Linked DNA regions of Alligator mississippiensis. The protein of the gene in region 1 interacts with the protein of each later gene in a biochemical or structural test. Links are inferred from orthologs where the notes say so. Each region holds a gene or a part of one and is shown in the gene's direction. Other genes may lie near its edges.

Region 1 (7,378 bases):
TCCATGGCTGGCAGCAGCTGCTTAGAGCCCAGGCTGGCGGTGGTGTGCCGAGCAAAATGGCCTTGCATGCCATGCTCGGCATGCATGCCGGGGGTTGCTGATCCCTGGTATAGGGCTTTAGCATTAGTATAGTATAGGGTTGTGCTAGCCCTGAATACATGTTTGTCCATTTTGTCTAGTGGTTACCTGCACATTTTGAAAAGAACCAGAGATAGAAATGGTAATTGTGGGACTCCACAAATTGAGGGGTCAAGTATCGGAGATGAAGGTTCCCATCACAGCTCATCAGATGCTTCCCACCCAAAAATATTTAAAGTATTATAGTGCTTTACTTATGACTTTGGGTACCTCTTTCAACCATTTCTTTTGTTTCAATAGATACATTAAGAACACCAAAAACTATTTTTAACAACTTATCTGTCTTTCTTATAGCTCTATATTGATAGAGGAACTGATTCACCCTTGCTTAACATTTCGTACTCAAGTACTGACCCATCATTCTTAAAGGTAGGAATTCAATTTCTTTATTGTAAACATCACAACTTTATCTCCACTTGATGTAAGATTCTTGTTAGAACTACCTAGAAATAGAAAAATGAGAGCATAGTTAATTAAAATATAAAAACTAGTAGTGGAATTGGTCTGGTATTATGCAAATAATAACTAGCCAAACACAATAAATATGCTTAAAATGTGTTGAATATAATGTATATACCCTAGAAACTCTTTGGTCCCCATCCCCCCAACCAAGAAAAGTCTACAGACCTTATTATTCACCCTAATACAATTTGCTCTGGGCCACAGTGATTATGCAAACAAACAGGAAACCTGTTCTAACTCAATGTCTAGTGGTTCTTCTAATATTTCTCTTCAGGTGGTATAAAGTGAGCTAGGCTACCTCCATTTTAAGAGAGTTGGCCCAGCAGGTATGTCAGGGGTGCGGCGAGATCAGGGCCAGGCAATTATTTCGGCAGGAGAGCCGTTTAGTGAGTTTTGGTAAACTGTCAAGGGCCACAAGGATAGCCCCACCCCTTGACAGGTGCCTCGCCCACTGGTCACTATCTTGGAACTGAAAGTCCCATCCCCTAACCCTCTGACCTTTGCCACCCAAAGTCCCTCACCTTCCCCCTGGAAGTACATCTTTTGGGAAGGGGGTTAGCCATCTTGGAACCAGAAAAAAACCCCAAATTATATTTTAAAAATCAAACATCTGCAATAACATATTTTTATTTTATTTTTTAAAAATATTTTTGTCCCGATTTTGTGTGTGTATGCGCTGTGTACATAGAGGTGATTGCATAATAGCTCAAAATGAAGTCTTACTCTTGTATATTGTGGTGGGGGGTGGGGAGGGGTGTGGGGGAGTTGTGTAACATCGACATCAACACTTGGGAGACCCTTGCTCAGGACCAACCAAAATGGAGGAAGGCTCTTTGGGAGGGACCACAACACTTTGAAACAGCTCGTCGACAGGCAGAAGAGGAAAAGAGGAACAGGCTAAAAGGACATCAGAACATCCAACGCAGCAACACAGTGCCCATCCCTCCTGGAAACACCCGTCCTCACTGCAACAAGATATGTGGATTTAGAATTGGGCTATGGAGCCGCCTGCGGATTCACTATTAAGAGGCTTAGAAGACAATCTTTAGCATTTGTGAGTGATCAGCCATCATCATCAGAATATATATTTACTTATATAGAGAGGCATAAATATTTTTGGAAAAAAAACCCATGCAGAAGATCCCTTGCAAGATTGGGACCTTGCGGTCTGATATTGCTTCCTCTGAAGTTAAAGACAAACCATCCATTGACTTCAACAGTAGAGGACTGGGCTGTAAGACAATGAAAGTTATCTTTTTTTTTTAAAGTAAAGTGAACCAAATCCTCCATGGAGCAGGCACAGGATATAAGTTAGAGGCTAAGTGTTAGGGGCTGAAGCTATTAATAATTTTCTTTTAAAACTCAATCTGCTCGGTTTGTTTTAACTCTTATTTCTATGCCATCATGTCTGATGTTCCAGTACTTGTTCATTCAAGTTCTGCCTGTGAGTAGCTGTGACATGGCAGCTTTTCTTTCAACTGAATCTCTCTGAAACATTTCTCATCTTTTAAATCTATATTAAACTCCTTCATTCAGAGCCCTGGGGCCAAAATCTTTATACTGTTTTTACTCCAGTGAATTCAGTGTACTAACTTTGTACTTCCACAAGGGAGTTCAGATTCCTGTCATGGGACTGAAAAACTCCTCAGAATTGATTATTTCTCTTAGAAATGCTAAAACAATGAAAGAGTTTGTGAAAAATTCCATTTTCAGAATTGCATGATGAGTCAAGAGAACAGTTTGAAAAGAGAAATTCAGGGTCTTTATCTGTAAATGATTTCAGTTCCCTTATCAAAAACACAGAGAAAAAAAATTGTGGGTCATGCGGGATTTTTGGAAACAGCCTTGAAAGTAATGCTAAATGAGTATTAGAGATGGGAATGAGCCACAAAATTTGGCTGAGGGAACGCTATCCAAACCCACATCTGGATTTTAAATTTGGTCAACCATAGATAGCCACAAGATTTCAATCCAAACCTCTGCTGAGAAGAAATTATGACACCTTTCCTCCTCTGTACCTTCCTACTGCTGTACCTCTGCAAAAATGTGATTCATCATTGATTGAATGTAGCATTTTGGCTGATTTCTGCTCCGGTTCTGGAAGAGATCCATGTTTCAGTGTTAAAGAGGCAAGATCCACAGTTTTGTACACTGGCTATTAATTCATTGTTTAAAATCTTTTTCCATCCCACTGCTGTACCCAGTCCCCTGCCATGCAGGGAGGGGCACTTGCTCAAAAGAAAGAAAAGTTTATTTCCCTCAAAAACTTCCCACTGTTGCTTGTACTTGCTCAGCTGCACCAGAAGTAAAAGAACCACCCCAGATTTTCAGGAACAGTCCCAAACATCATGGTGGTGCCAAAGCAGAATAGAAACAGTACGATTGGGTCATACTGTGCCCCTGGCTAATTAGCTTTGTCAACGCTGCATGAATGCAGCTATAGTAATTAGCGATGCCATGAAGTGGAGTTAAGTAGCTTGGATACAGAAGAGTGCCATGTAAGTACAGCTCTGCTGCTTCCGGTTCAAGAGGTTTCCCTGGGCAGAGTCCATAACACTCCAATATTGCAGCACATGATTTAAAATAGACTTTTTTTCTCTTTGTGGCAGGAGAGGATTTTCCTGTAAGTGTGGACCAGAAGAGGGGGTAAACCACTTCCAGTTCCAGAGGCCTGCAGAGCATCCTAGATTTTGCTTCATAAAAGTTCATATCAGCATCAAGACCCTCAGTATATTATCAATGATTATTTTTACTTTAAAAGGGCCAGGCAGCTGGGGAGAGAGGGGGGGTCTGTTGTGCTAAGTGCTGTACAAATGTATAGTAAATGCTAGTCTGTGCCACACAGACTATTGCAACCCCAGTTGCCCTCCAGCTCCAATGCCTCTTTTAGCATTTTTTGAGTAGATGATGCTTTAACTGGCACCATACTAAAACGGGTGCAATGTTAGCAACAGTGGGGGCAGTGCCTGCATGTTTTTAAATGCCTAGTACTTGTGCCCTCACACAGCTCCCTTTGAGCTGCAAAACGTGTTTGCTGGGGTGAGCAGTTCCTGCTCCTGTGGAAGCCAGATTGTGTTCTGGGGGGATGTAACCAGCTTCTTCCTCTCTAGGGTTTTCCCTGGGGAGGGCGGGGGGGGGGGGGTAGAGTTTCTCTCATCTGGCACTAGGGTGGCCGTCATAGAGGACAGTCCGGTTGTGCTCTATTGATACAAAGCCCTTTTTGTCCTGTATTTTCCTCCCAAAGAGGACAAATAGAGGACAAAATGGAGCGATCATTCACCAACTGTGCCCTTCACAAACTATGGTTTTATTTGTCGTACCAATTCTGGGCCTCCTTAATTAGGACAAATAGAGGACGTAAAGGTGTATCAATAGAGGACAGAGTAGCAGAAAACCTGAGTGTCCCCTATCCGGCGCAGACTGTTTCCTCTCTGGGCGGTAAGCGACTGGCCCGGGTTTGACTCCCTTCAGAAGAGGCCGGGACACCCTCCCACACCCGGGGAAGTGGAGGTAGCCCGGCTTGAACCCGGGCGGCACAAGGAGCTTGCGGGACCCTGCGGGATCCGGGACGAGCGGCTTTGCCGGGTCGCAGCAGCACCCCCTGAGGCGGTGGCGGCGGCAGGCGTCCTGCCCCCTCTCTCCCCCGGCCGCCGCCTCCGCCGCAGCCGCTCGCTTGGTCTCGAGACGTCAGCGGGAATTTCCAGCCAGGAAGTGAGAGGGGCGAGCAGCTGGGGCCGCGGAGCAGGAAGCGGCGCTGCGCGCACACACTCGGGCACACGGGCACGGCGGCGGGCGGCGCTCACAGGGCGGCGGCCGCGGGTCCCGGCCGGCCGGCGGCGGCGAGCGGCTCATGGCGCGGCGCTGAGCCCGCGACAGACGGGACGGGACGAGCGGAGCGGAGCGGAGCGGAGCGGGGGCCTCTTCCCCGCGCCCAGGCAGGGTGAGTACGCAGCTGTGCCCCGCCAGCGGGGAGCCGGGGTCACTCCGGATCGCGGGCGCGGGGCTGTGAGGAGCGGGGGGGGGGGGGTCACGTTGGCCGGGAGGGTGCCCTGAGGGCGAGGGGGGCGGGCAGCGCGCCCGGCCCGGCCCGGCCCGGCCCGCTTCCTCCCTTGGCGCAGCCCGGCCTGGGGCCGCCCCCGGCCCTGGGGAGGGAGGGGCTGTGCCCGAGCCGAGGGTCTGGGGTTGTCATCGCCGCCGCCTCTTGCTGCTGTGTATGTCTTTCTTTTTGATATTTTTATTTTGTTTTTTGCTTGTAATTGTGTAACTTCAGAAATCCCTGTGTTTAGTTGCTGTGTCATGACGCAATTTGTGGCTGCTGATCCTGGCGGCCAAGATGCACGCAGGGGTTTTCCCCCCTGCCTTCATGGGGATGCTTGTGGGGCTCTTCTGAGCCAGGTGGGAAGAGATGGGCAGGCATACAAAGCCCTGCCAAGGGTAGGGGGCAAATCAAGGGGAGAAGGAAACGCTGGATGTATTACTGGCCTCTGCCTCCTTCCACATGCCCCCCTCAGGGGGTCCTTTCTTTGGGTGGCATCTTCTACTGGACCCACTGTGTCAGTGGGATCAAGAGACACCAGCTTTTGAATATAAGGCACTCTGTTTCAGGTAATGGTCATACTGGCAGGTGGGTCAGGAAAACCAGTTCAAGTGCAGTAGTGGCACCCCTGAAGCCTGCTGCTGGCAAAGCCCAAGTGTCGCACGTGAAATGGAGCAAGCTGTGGTCTTCGCAAACTATGGTTACCTTCGTCACGCCAGTTGTGGGCCTCCTTGATTCACAGAAAACCACTACAGTGCCAGCTGTGTAGATATTCTGCATAAGGGAGGAGAAAAGGGGTGGATGCAAAGTCCTGCCAGGTACAGGAAACAAAACAGCTGAAGTGGATGCATACCACTTTTCCACCCTTTTTCTCCTCCTTTGCTCAGGATATCTATAGTTCTGGCACTGTTGCAATTTTTTTCCCTGTGGATTAAGGAGACCCAGAATTGGTACAACAAAGAAAAGCATAGTGTGTGAAGGCCACAGTTTGTGAACAATTGCTCCATTTTTGTGTGACGTTCTGGCTTTTCCTGCAACAGCCTTCAGGGGCTCTGCTGTTGTATCTGATTTGGTTTTCCTGACTAACCTGCCAGTTGAAAGTATAACTGTGACTTAAAGTGGGATACTTTGTGTTTTGAAAGCTTGTCTAACTGTATCCCAGTGATGCAGTGTGTCCAGTAGAAGATGCCTCCCAAAGAAATCTGGGCCTCTAGTGTAACTGTAAACATTGGTGGTGAAGTAGCATGGGAAAACCCTAATAGTGAGCGAGAACCATGAAAGGTCTCTGTTGCAAATACAGGGAAGATTACAAGCAGTTTTACAGCTGGTAGCTGGCAAGGGTTTAAGGGCATCCACAGTACTAGATAGAAATGAAATACTCTTTCCATGATGGAGACTAATATCTGACACTTTGTTGCTATTATAGCTGACCCTAACACATGGAAGGTTCAGTTCCACATTAGTTTTTCTGCTCTGTCATTAAATGTTTTCTTCATTTGAACATAAAGACACACACACAATTTTATGTTCAAATGAAGAAAAAAAACTTAATACTGCTTCCTCCAGGACAATGGCAAAGCAAGAAGAAAAAAAAAAAATGCAGAACTGAACCTTCCAAATATATAAAATAGATATTATTTCTTTAGCCTGGACTCCATTTTGTATACAAATACAGGCAATGGGCCTGATCCTACAAAAGCTTTTACATGTACAACTTTATTCACATGTTTAATTGTATACCCGTGTAAGTGTTTGCAGGATTGGAGCTTTACAAATAAAACCTGTCTGTTAATTCAAAAGCATATTTCTGTTTTCCAGTTTAAAAAAAAGTTAAATATTGAAGACACAAATCTTTACAAAAAAGTAAAGTTTGAGAAGAAAATAGAGATGTTATTTAACATGGCATAGAGCACAATAAGCTTCGATTAATTTGTCACTGGTTTAATTTGCCCTTTGGTTCCCTTCTCCCCCTGTTATCCAGTTCTAAAAGTTGGTCATTACCAGATAACTTGTCATTATTTCTATTCACATTGCAGTGACAAGTTAATTAGAGTTTACTGTAAATAGGAGTATTTAACTGTATGGTTTAAAAAAAAAAAAAATCCCTTTTATTGTTTTCTCTATCATTTTCTTTCCAAGACAGAAATCCGAACAGATCTTAGAGAGCATGATTCTTCATTCTGGCACATCAGATTTACACTGAAATAATGGAGTTAAAAATATGGCCTTAACATTTTTTAGCTGTTTGTTTATTGTTTTTTTTTGAAGTTCTTAAACTTTTTTTTGCTGTGTATTACAGATTCGTTTAGCTTTGTAAACATACTAGTCAGAGTTACTTTCTCTGGGTAAAAACCCATACTTTTGTAATTTGAAGAGAAGATAAAACTGTTCAGATTTGGTTCCCTGTAATCTATGTTAATGAATGATCAGTAAGTTAGTTGCTAAAATGCTGGAACAAAGCACTTTATAAAACCTGGATGCAGCCTCTCAACTACTATAAAATGTTATAGTTCAGTGACAGTGATCTCAAAGATAGTGAAATTATGACAATATTGACCAGCTAGGGATCTTCACATAATATTTTTACATGTGAATTTCCTTTACCCCTCTATTACCTTTGGTTTATTGTTTGCAAGACTGAGTAATTTAGTTATAAAAGGTTTTCAGTTTAACAAGAGAAAAGCCTTCCTTTCCTGTCCACACTCCCATTGAAAGAAAATGATCAACAGTAAAGTCAGCACA
Region 2 (8,001 bases), on another chromosome or scaffold:
CAGGCGCCGGCCGAGCGTGTACGGCGCGGCGCGAGGGTCAAGCCTCGCCCTAGTTGCGCGCGGCTCCGGCGGGAGCTGGGAAGGACGCTGCTGGGCGGCGGCGGGAGCGAGGGATCAAGCCGGGGTCTGGGAAGCGTCGTGTCCTGCTGCGGGCTCTGGTCTTTTTTTGTCATCCAAAAAGGAGGGGAAACTACGAGCTGGCACTTCCTAAGGGGGATCGGGTCTGGCAAGGGGCACCTCGAGTCTGCAGGGGTTGGGAGCCTGGCTCTAGGCCCGGAGCAAAGCCCTGACCCTGGGACTGCTGTGAGTCATAAAGCCAAGCCAGTGTGTGAGGGTGTGGAGGCCCCTGCTGCACGGGCACTGTGCAATGAATGTAGACCCGCCAAGTGTAAAGTGATTATCACACAAGAAAAATGACTTTCCAGCTATAAAAAAAGTGCCAACCAGCTATAAAGTTAGTGCTTGAGAATGTGTGACAACTCCAGTGCTCTGGCAAGGAAGTTTGGCTCCCGGAACAAAGCCCCCAGAGGCAGCCCACCCTCGTCCGGGGGATGCTTGCCCAGGCATGCACGCAGTGGAGGGAGAAACCCTCCCCCAGTCCCCACAGCCCCCCCCAAGCGAGCCGCTCACAGCTCCATCCCATGCTCTGTGCTGGCAGGGCAGCGTATGTTGGCACCCCTTTGCTTCAGCGCCCAGGACAGTCACCCCACTCGCCTCCCCTCCTGCCCCCACCCCCACCCCTTTGCTACACATCTTGGAGGACATGTTCAGTTACTATTTAGGTGTGGACAGAGTAGTGTTTGAAGCTCCTTAGTGATCCCTGAAATCCTTCAAAGGGAAGCGAGCAGGTATACACACCCTTTAAAGCAGGGGTGGGCAATTATTTCAGGCAGAGGGCTGCTTACTGAGTTTTGGCAAGTCATCAAGGGAGGCATGACAGGCAGCCAGAGGCAGATAAATATTAATTTTCTAAATTTGGGGCAGGGGCTGGATAGGATAGCCTGGAGCATTTTGCCCACCCCTGCTTTCAAGTGTTCTGAAATTGGTGGAAGTACTTTAAAAAGAACCCTGAGGAGAACATGTGCTATTTTGGAGCGCTTCCTGTTTCATGTGTGCATGCTACACTGCCCAGAGTGCATCAGAGGACAGCTTCATCCTCCAGCATCCCACTGATCTTTCCCCCAACCCCATGAAGACAGGGGAGAAAGTGGGGCAGACCGCTCATGAGTGCTCTCCTGTGGGCTCTGCCTTCACTCCCTCAGGTCCCCTGCCTTAGGAGACTGGAGACCCACACCCAACTCCTTTGGAGGGGTTGGAAGGAAGGAAAGTAGGGGGTGCTCTTGGGAAAGCAGGGGCAGAGCGCACAGAACACTGCGTGACTGTCATACTTACCAATTTGCAATTTGGAGATTATACCTACTTTTCTGTAGTATCTTAACATTTACAAATTAGCATGGATGTAGACAGAATTATATAGAAGAATCTGAGACTGGGCACATCTACATGAATGCTTAACGCACAGTAGCCTAATAACACTGTGCAGTAGTGTGCCAGACAAAAACCGTGTTAACACTCTACTGCGCAGTAGTATTAGGCTGCTGCACAATAAGCATCACTAAAAACCCACGTGCTGTCACTACAGCACAGTAACTTTAGTTAGTACTTTGCATTTAGATTTGTTCTTACATGGGGTATGTGACCAGAATTTCCAGTCTTCTCCACCTGTCTATAAAAACTCTTATGTTTTTCCTCCAGAATTGTATGACAGGTTCTTCATAAATTCACTGATGAGCTAAGGAGAGAAACTCAACTTCCTGTGAGGCTGGTCTAAAAAAGAAAATGATCTTATTAAAATGAATAGTGCGCTTAAGAAAATTAACAACTGCACTAGTTCTTTAACAATAATATCTAAGGTCTGCCTGTATGAGAGCTACTATATAATTAAAGATGTGTTATTCTAACTCATCCGCCCACCCTAAATCTCTGTTTATTTCACCCCTCCCTATTTGCTAGCATTCATTCTTCATTTTATTTCCTTTCCTACTGCCTGTGTTTCTCTCAAGGTCCCTTCTTGAATGCCCACTTATTTCTTTCTTCCTCTCATCTTTACACTTTCTTCTTGTACTTCAGAGAGATCTTTCCTTGATGGCATATCAGGTTGTGCAGTGATTCTCAACCAGGGTGCCACAGCACCCTGGAGTGACTTGAGAGCCTTTCAAGGATATAGCAGGTGCTATTCAGTGTTAGTAGTGCTGGTGTGCAACCATGATTCACAGGATAAACCCAGAGATTTCAGGCAAGAATTCATAGCGCTAAAAACATTCTGCTCTGCTGTGGTCTTTCTTGGTTCTTTGCACCGGAAGAATTGCTCTATTATTTTTCTGTAGTTAAAAGCAAAGTGAAAAGTAAGAGCTGGCATTTTCTGGGGGCTACCTTGAGCCAAACAGGGGGTGTCAAGTCTGAAAAAGGACCACTAAAGTAGTGCAGTCAAATAGTACATAAATAAAACAAGACAAACTTTCTGAGGTAAAGATTTGAATTTCAGTTAATTTATCATCTGTGCTTCTGAGGACTGGAACCACATCCATCTGCGTGTACACAGGGCCAAGTCCACTCTTACAGTATTTTGTAATGCATTAATAAATAGGAATGGCCTAGATCAGGGGGTGTCAAACTCATTTTGCCCTTAGGCCGGATTTGGGCTGCAGGGACAGATGCAGACCCACCTCTGGGGGTGGGGTGAGCAGCTGAAGGGATGGGCAAGTGGCAGAAAGTAGCAGAGCCAGCAGTAGCAGGGTAAGGCAGTCCCACTGCCAACAGGGATCCATACCCAAATTCCATGGCTCCTTCCACAACTGCCCAGGCCAGATTCAGGCAATGGGCTGTCTGACACCACTGGTCTCTAACTCTAGACTCCCTCCCTTTCTTGTTCACACTTCCGCCTCCCCATTGTGCTCATTTCATTCAGCCTCCCCAACAGAGGCCTGGGTGTGGGACATCTCACCTTTGTTAATACAGTCAACAAAACTATTTAAGGTGGGCTGCTAGAGGTCCCATATGCAAGCAGATCTTTTCCTTCACTGTCTCTTTAACCCATTCTTTTCCCCTTGTGTAAATTAGCCAGAGGAAACAGGCACGCAACATTATTGCAACTTAAACACAGTTTGCACAGAAAGATTACAACAAAGCCCACAGCCCATCACAAGGGGTTTATTCCAATTGCCTATATGTACTGAAAAGAAGAAACACTGAAGTTTAGAGTGGATTCTTGGCTTCCTTGAGGATAACAAGACTTTAGTCAGCAGCATTTTACATATAATGTTTATAGCTATAAATATACGGAAAATATCACTCTGATCTCATTAACATGACCAGGCTCAGTCATCACTTACAAAACCCAGTGACATGCTGGAGGAAGTGGTTTTGGTGGTCCTTCGAATAAAGTACTCAATAGAAAAGGTGGTACTGTGCTGCAGAGCTGCTATGGAAAGAAGACGTAAAATGTAGCCCTGAACATTTGTTTGGAGAGTTCGCTTCATTGCACAGTTTTATTTTAATCTTGTATCTGTTTTTACAAGTTATCTTGTTTTTATTGTAAGCTGCTCTAAGCCTTTTGGGGGAAGATAACATATACATCTAATAAATTAAACAAAATGGATTTTGCAGCAATTACAAAACTCACATCCAGAACTAAAGAGCCTGAGTCCCTCTACCAAATTATATTTGGTCAACTCCAAAAACAGCCTTGACTGTTGTAACACCTAACTTTTTGATACTCTGCCAGGTAGTGGAACCCACAGCTCTGAGTTACCGGCTCAGACTCCCTGTGCAACGCAAGAGAGAATTAAGTACCTGACTGGGAGTCACAGGAGCCAGTAATATCAGCCATATCAACTAGCCAGCAGGAAATGCCAAACAAATGAGAGGTCCCTTGCTTAAGCAACTGGGAGGTGAGAAACCTGTTTGCAAATCCTGAAATTTTGGGATTTGAAAACTAATGTCTTCAAAAGAGAGATCACCCATCTCTCCGGAGCACATTGTTCATAAGCTGTAGGGTCACTTTCTCACTTGTTTGCTTTCTCTCTGGCCCAAGAAATGGTTACTTTTTTTATAGGTCCTAGCATAGCTTTAACCAGAATGACTGGAAAAAGACTCACTCCAGCTTAGGGACCTGCTATGGGATATAAGAGGCTCCCTGTCCCAAATCAGGACAAGCTGGCATTTGAAAACATCTCTCATGTCTCTGTAGAAAACTTCTAGTCATATGGGTGCTATTGGTGGGGGGAGAGGGTGTTATTCTTTCTTATTGTAAACCTCAACCCACACTCCCTTCCCTATTGTTTTGTTCACTGTTCCAAAGAAACAGTTGAAGACCCAGCCCTGAGCGCCCTTTCCCCTCCCCAATAAGAGGAGAGTCTTTAGCATTGGGCAGGTCTGCTCGCTTCTCCTGAGTTACAAACGGGTAGCCGTAGGTCCAGAGGCCCTGACCCCTTAGACATGGCAACCACCTTTAGCGTGGAGTGGACTTCCCTAGCCTTTAGCCTGCCTGCCTTTCCCTGGAGCTACATGTGCCCCCCCCAGGCAAATGCTCTTTGCAGTAGACCACTGGCTCAGCCTTGCGGCCTCGGGAAGGGGAGTGCTGCCTGGATTGGGCCCCGCAGTCAAAGCAGGTGGGACAAGTCTGCGCCAGGACTGAAGTCGGCAGCCAGGGCGCTGACCAGCTCCACGGTGCCCGTGCTCTTGGTGCCTTTTTTTTGCATGGGCACTGCCAGAGACCCTCCTGCAAGTGCACCAAGGGCCAGGCCGCAGCTGAGCAGGGGGGATGAAAATCTTGGTGCTGGACTCGGGTGCCGAAAGCCCAGCTCCAGTGGGATTTAGGCGCCTAACTAGAAGCGACGGCTCCCTGTGGCTCTGGCGTGAAGGCCCCGGCGCCAAGGCCCGTCCCTCAGCCGGGCTCTGCCCTGCCCAGGAGGCGAGGGGGCCGGGCCGGGGGGTGCGGAGTTCCCAGCGCTTGCACAAGGCAGCGGCCGCGCGGGTTCCTGTAAAGGCAAACAGAAACCGGCGGCGGCGGCGGCAGCGGGAGGTGCCTGCCCCCGGGTGAGTCACGGCCGGGCAGCGCGGAGCGCCGGGCGGGGCTCCCGGCTCCTTGCGCCCGCCCCGCCCCGCCCCGCCCCGTCCCGCCGAGTTTCCGAGCGGGCGGCGGCGGCGGCGGAGCGCAGCCCGGCCGAGCCAGCGCTCGCTGCAGGCGCGCGGCGCGTCGCGGCAGGTACCGGGGAGCCGGGGCGGGCGCACGTGCGCGGGGGCAGGTCCCGTGGGGCCGGCGCTGCTCGCGGGCCGGGACCAGGGACACCGACACCGACCTCGGCTCGGCTCAGCCCCTCTTCTGGCCCCGCCGGAGCCGGAGCCGGACAAGCCCGGCCGGAGCGCGGAGGTGCGGAGGGGCTGAGCGGGGCGCGTGCGGCACCAGGCACCGCGCGGGAGGGCTGTGCGCCGGGGGGTCTCTAGAGGCTACAGTCTTCATTGATATTTAAATAGGTGCTCCTGGAGTAGATGTCTGTCTGTCTATATAGATAAATATATCTGTGTTTGTGTGTATGCACACACCGTACACACATGCAATGTGTATTGTGTTTATTACAGGATTGCCAGCTCTCATGATTTCGGTGTTGTTCTTAAAGTCTGTGCTTTGGGACTGTGAAACACTTTGCTCATTCTTTCATATATATTCTTTGCAGGGTCCCAAAGCACAGACTTTAAGAACACCAAAAAATCATGAGAGTTGGCAATACTGGTATCTCTCTCTCTCAGCACCTATTTAAGTATCTGTCAAGACTGGCCTGGCCTACCCCATGAAGACTGAGGGACTTTTTGGGAGAACTCTATATAAGGAATTGGATGTATGTTGGAATATGTATATAGGTAATGGGATACAGATATATCTATAGATATCTCCAGGTGGCAGAGTCTGGATAGATACTTAAATAGGTGCTAATAGAATATGCATATGTATAGATCTATCTATATGTCTACGTACATATCTGTGTATGTGTGTATATGTATGCATGTGTGTGTGTGTGTGTGTATATATATATAGAGAGAGAGAGAGATTATCTATACAGATATAGATATAACTATATAGACTGATATAGATATATCTAGATATAGGTATGAGCAGACCTGTCCCTTTGGGGGAGTGAATCGGGGCGACTGCCCCAGGCTCCGTGCTTGGGGGGGCGCCCTGTGGACAGTGCCGTACAGGCCCTGCCGGCTCTGGGCTCCAGCCACTCACCACCCTCCACCCCCAACACACACAGGCCCTGCACAGACTGATATGCCTCAGGCCCCGTACACCTCTAGGGTCAGCTCTGGGTATGAGTATACATGTGTATACATATGGGTGTGTATACAATACATACACCCCCTCCCCCCATAGGTGATATTCTGTTAGCACCTATTTAAGTATCTGTGAAGACTTTGGCCTAGCCTACATCTTGAGTTATCTGTTTAGCTCAGGTACTTTAGTTTGAAATGTGTTGTATTAGAACAGGAATGGGAAGGAACATGACGGGGGAGGAAAAATTCTCCCAAATTAGGTGAAGTCCGTGTCAGAGGAGCATTGACATAATGTTCAAAGGTTGGCTTTGCTGACACTTGCAACTCAAGCTAGCAAGGTAAAGCAGAATTCCAGCTGACAGACCCGGATAGAGCCAGTAACCTTTCAACTTCCTACTGATCAACGTGAGCACTCTTCTGTAGAAGGCCTCTTAACTCTAGATAGGGCTCAGTTTACAATAATTGAACTGAATGTTCAAGGTCATGTGGTTGAAGGAGTCCTACTGCAGTGACATCAGGGAATTGGCTGTGAGGAGCAGCACTAAAATTCTGTTAAAGTTGTCCCCGTCTCTTACATGGGGGTTTTCTGCAGGAGAAATTTTTATTATTCATCAAATAGGATGTGTTCAGCTATGGAATGAGAGCATTGTCCTTTAGATCTTACTCTGCTGCAGCTGTCTCTCAGTTTTGCTGGAGCTGTCTGACCACAGGCTAATGGAGCTGTTGTGTGAATACATACATGGAAAATTCTTTCTTGAGATCTTAAAGACTAAAGGTTTTCCCCTTCCTTGTGACAGTCTTGCAGAACTTGATGCACTGGCCTTCCTCCAGACACTTTTCTTTTCTTTGGTGATATTTTTCAAGACCTGCGATTATCTTAGTGCGAAAGCATTTAAAGGAAAAATACCAGCTCCATTCCTTTATTTATAGGTGATGGCTGGTTAAACAAGAACAGATATAGTATTTATATGTGTTTACACTAAGCTAGTTAGTTTGCAGAATAGGGCCTGGACCATGCAAAAAATCTGTATCAGTTTGGGATTCCAGGAATATTTTTTAATACCTGGAAGAAAAAAAAATATGACAAGGTAACAATAACATTTCCTTGGCTGAAAACTACCCATGACAAAAAAACTCTTTGACTTGCCAGTGGCTCATGTGATGTTGGTTGAGCAATGATGTGATTGGAGGAAGAGTTTTTCCTTTTCTTAAACTTCAAGCAGCTGACTAACGCGTGCTTTTTTTTTTTTTTTGCTTTTGTAGGTAAAAGCAGAATTGTAATTAGAAACACAAACTATTTACAGGGCCTTGATTGCTATGTATATTAGGAAAACACTGAATGGAAGTGGCTATGATTTGTTTCTCATATTGTGCATCCAAATAGTGCTCTAATGTACAACTAAAGAGGCTTAGCAGGAAAAATTAATTCACGAGTGGCAAGTAGATACTTTTCTTGCTAAAGGTCATATATGAGCCACTGACAGCTGAAGTATATAAACTCTTTTTAAAGAAAAATTTAAACCTCATTCTGATTAAACAGCCTTCCACACATGAAATCATGTTGTGTTTCTTTCTTCCTCTGTGAACAAACTTTAGCTGCCCATGCTATTTTGAGCAGGAGAAGAATAAAATCAGTGAATATTTTGGTCATTTTCATTTGAGCCCCTG

The links.
Region 2: the proteins of NFKB1 (region 1) and MAP3K8 form a complex in vitro, tested with the Homo sapiens proteins (2 studies listed by BioGRID and IntAct, with this or other methods). The link is inferred for Alligator mississippiensis from reciprocal best matches to the Homo sapiens genes NFKB1 and MAP3K8.

The regions. Positions count from the first base shown.
Region 1 is NC_081825.1:163,075,786-163,083,163, forward strand, and holds the start of NFKB1 (nuclear factor NF-kappa-B p105 subunit), read left to right. Parts: upstream 1-4,376; 5' UTR 4,377-4,540; intron 4,541-4,793; exon of another isoform or gene 4,794-4,811; intron 4,812-7,378.
Region 2 is NC_081828.1:191,317,089-191,325,089, reverse strand, and holds the start of MAP3K8 (mitogen-activated protein kinase kinase kinase 8), read left to right. Parts: upstream 1-4,994; 5' UTR 4,995-5,097; intron 5,098-5,178; exon of another isoform or gene 5,179-5,266; intron 5,267-5,299; exon of another isoform or gene 5,300-5,431; intron 5,432-8,001.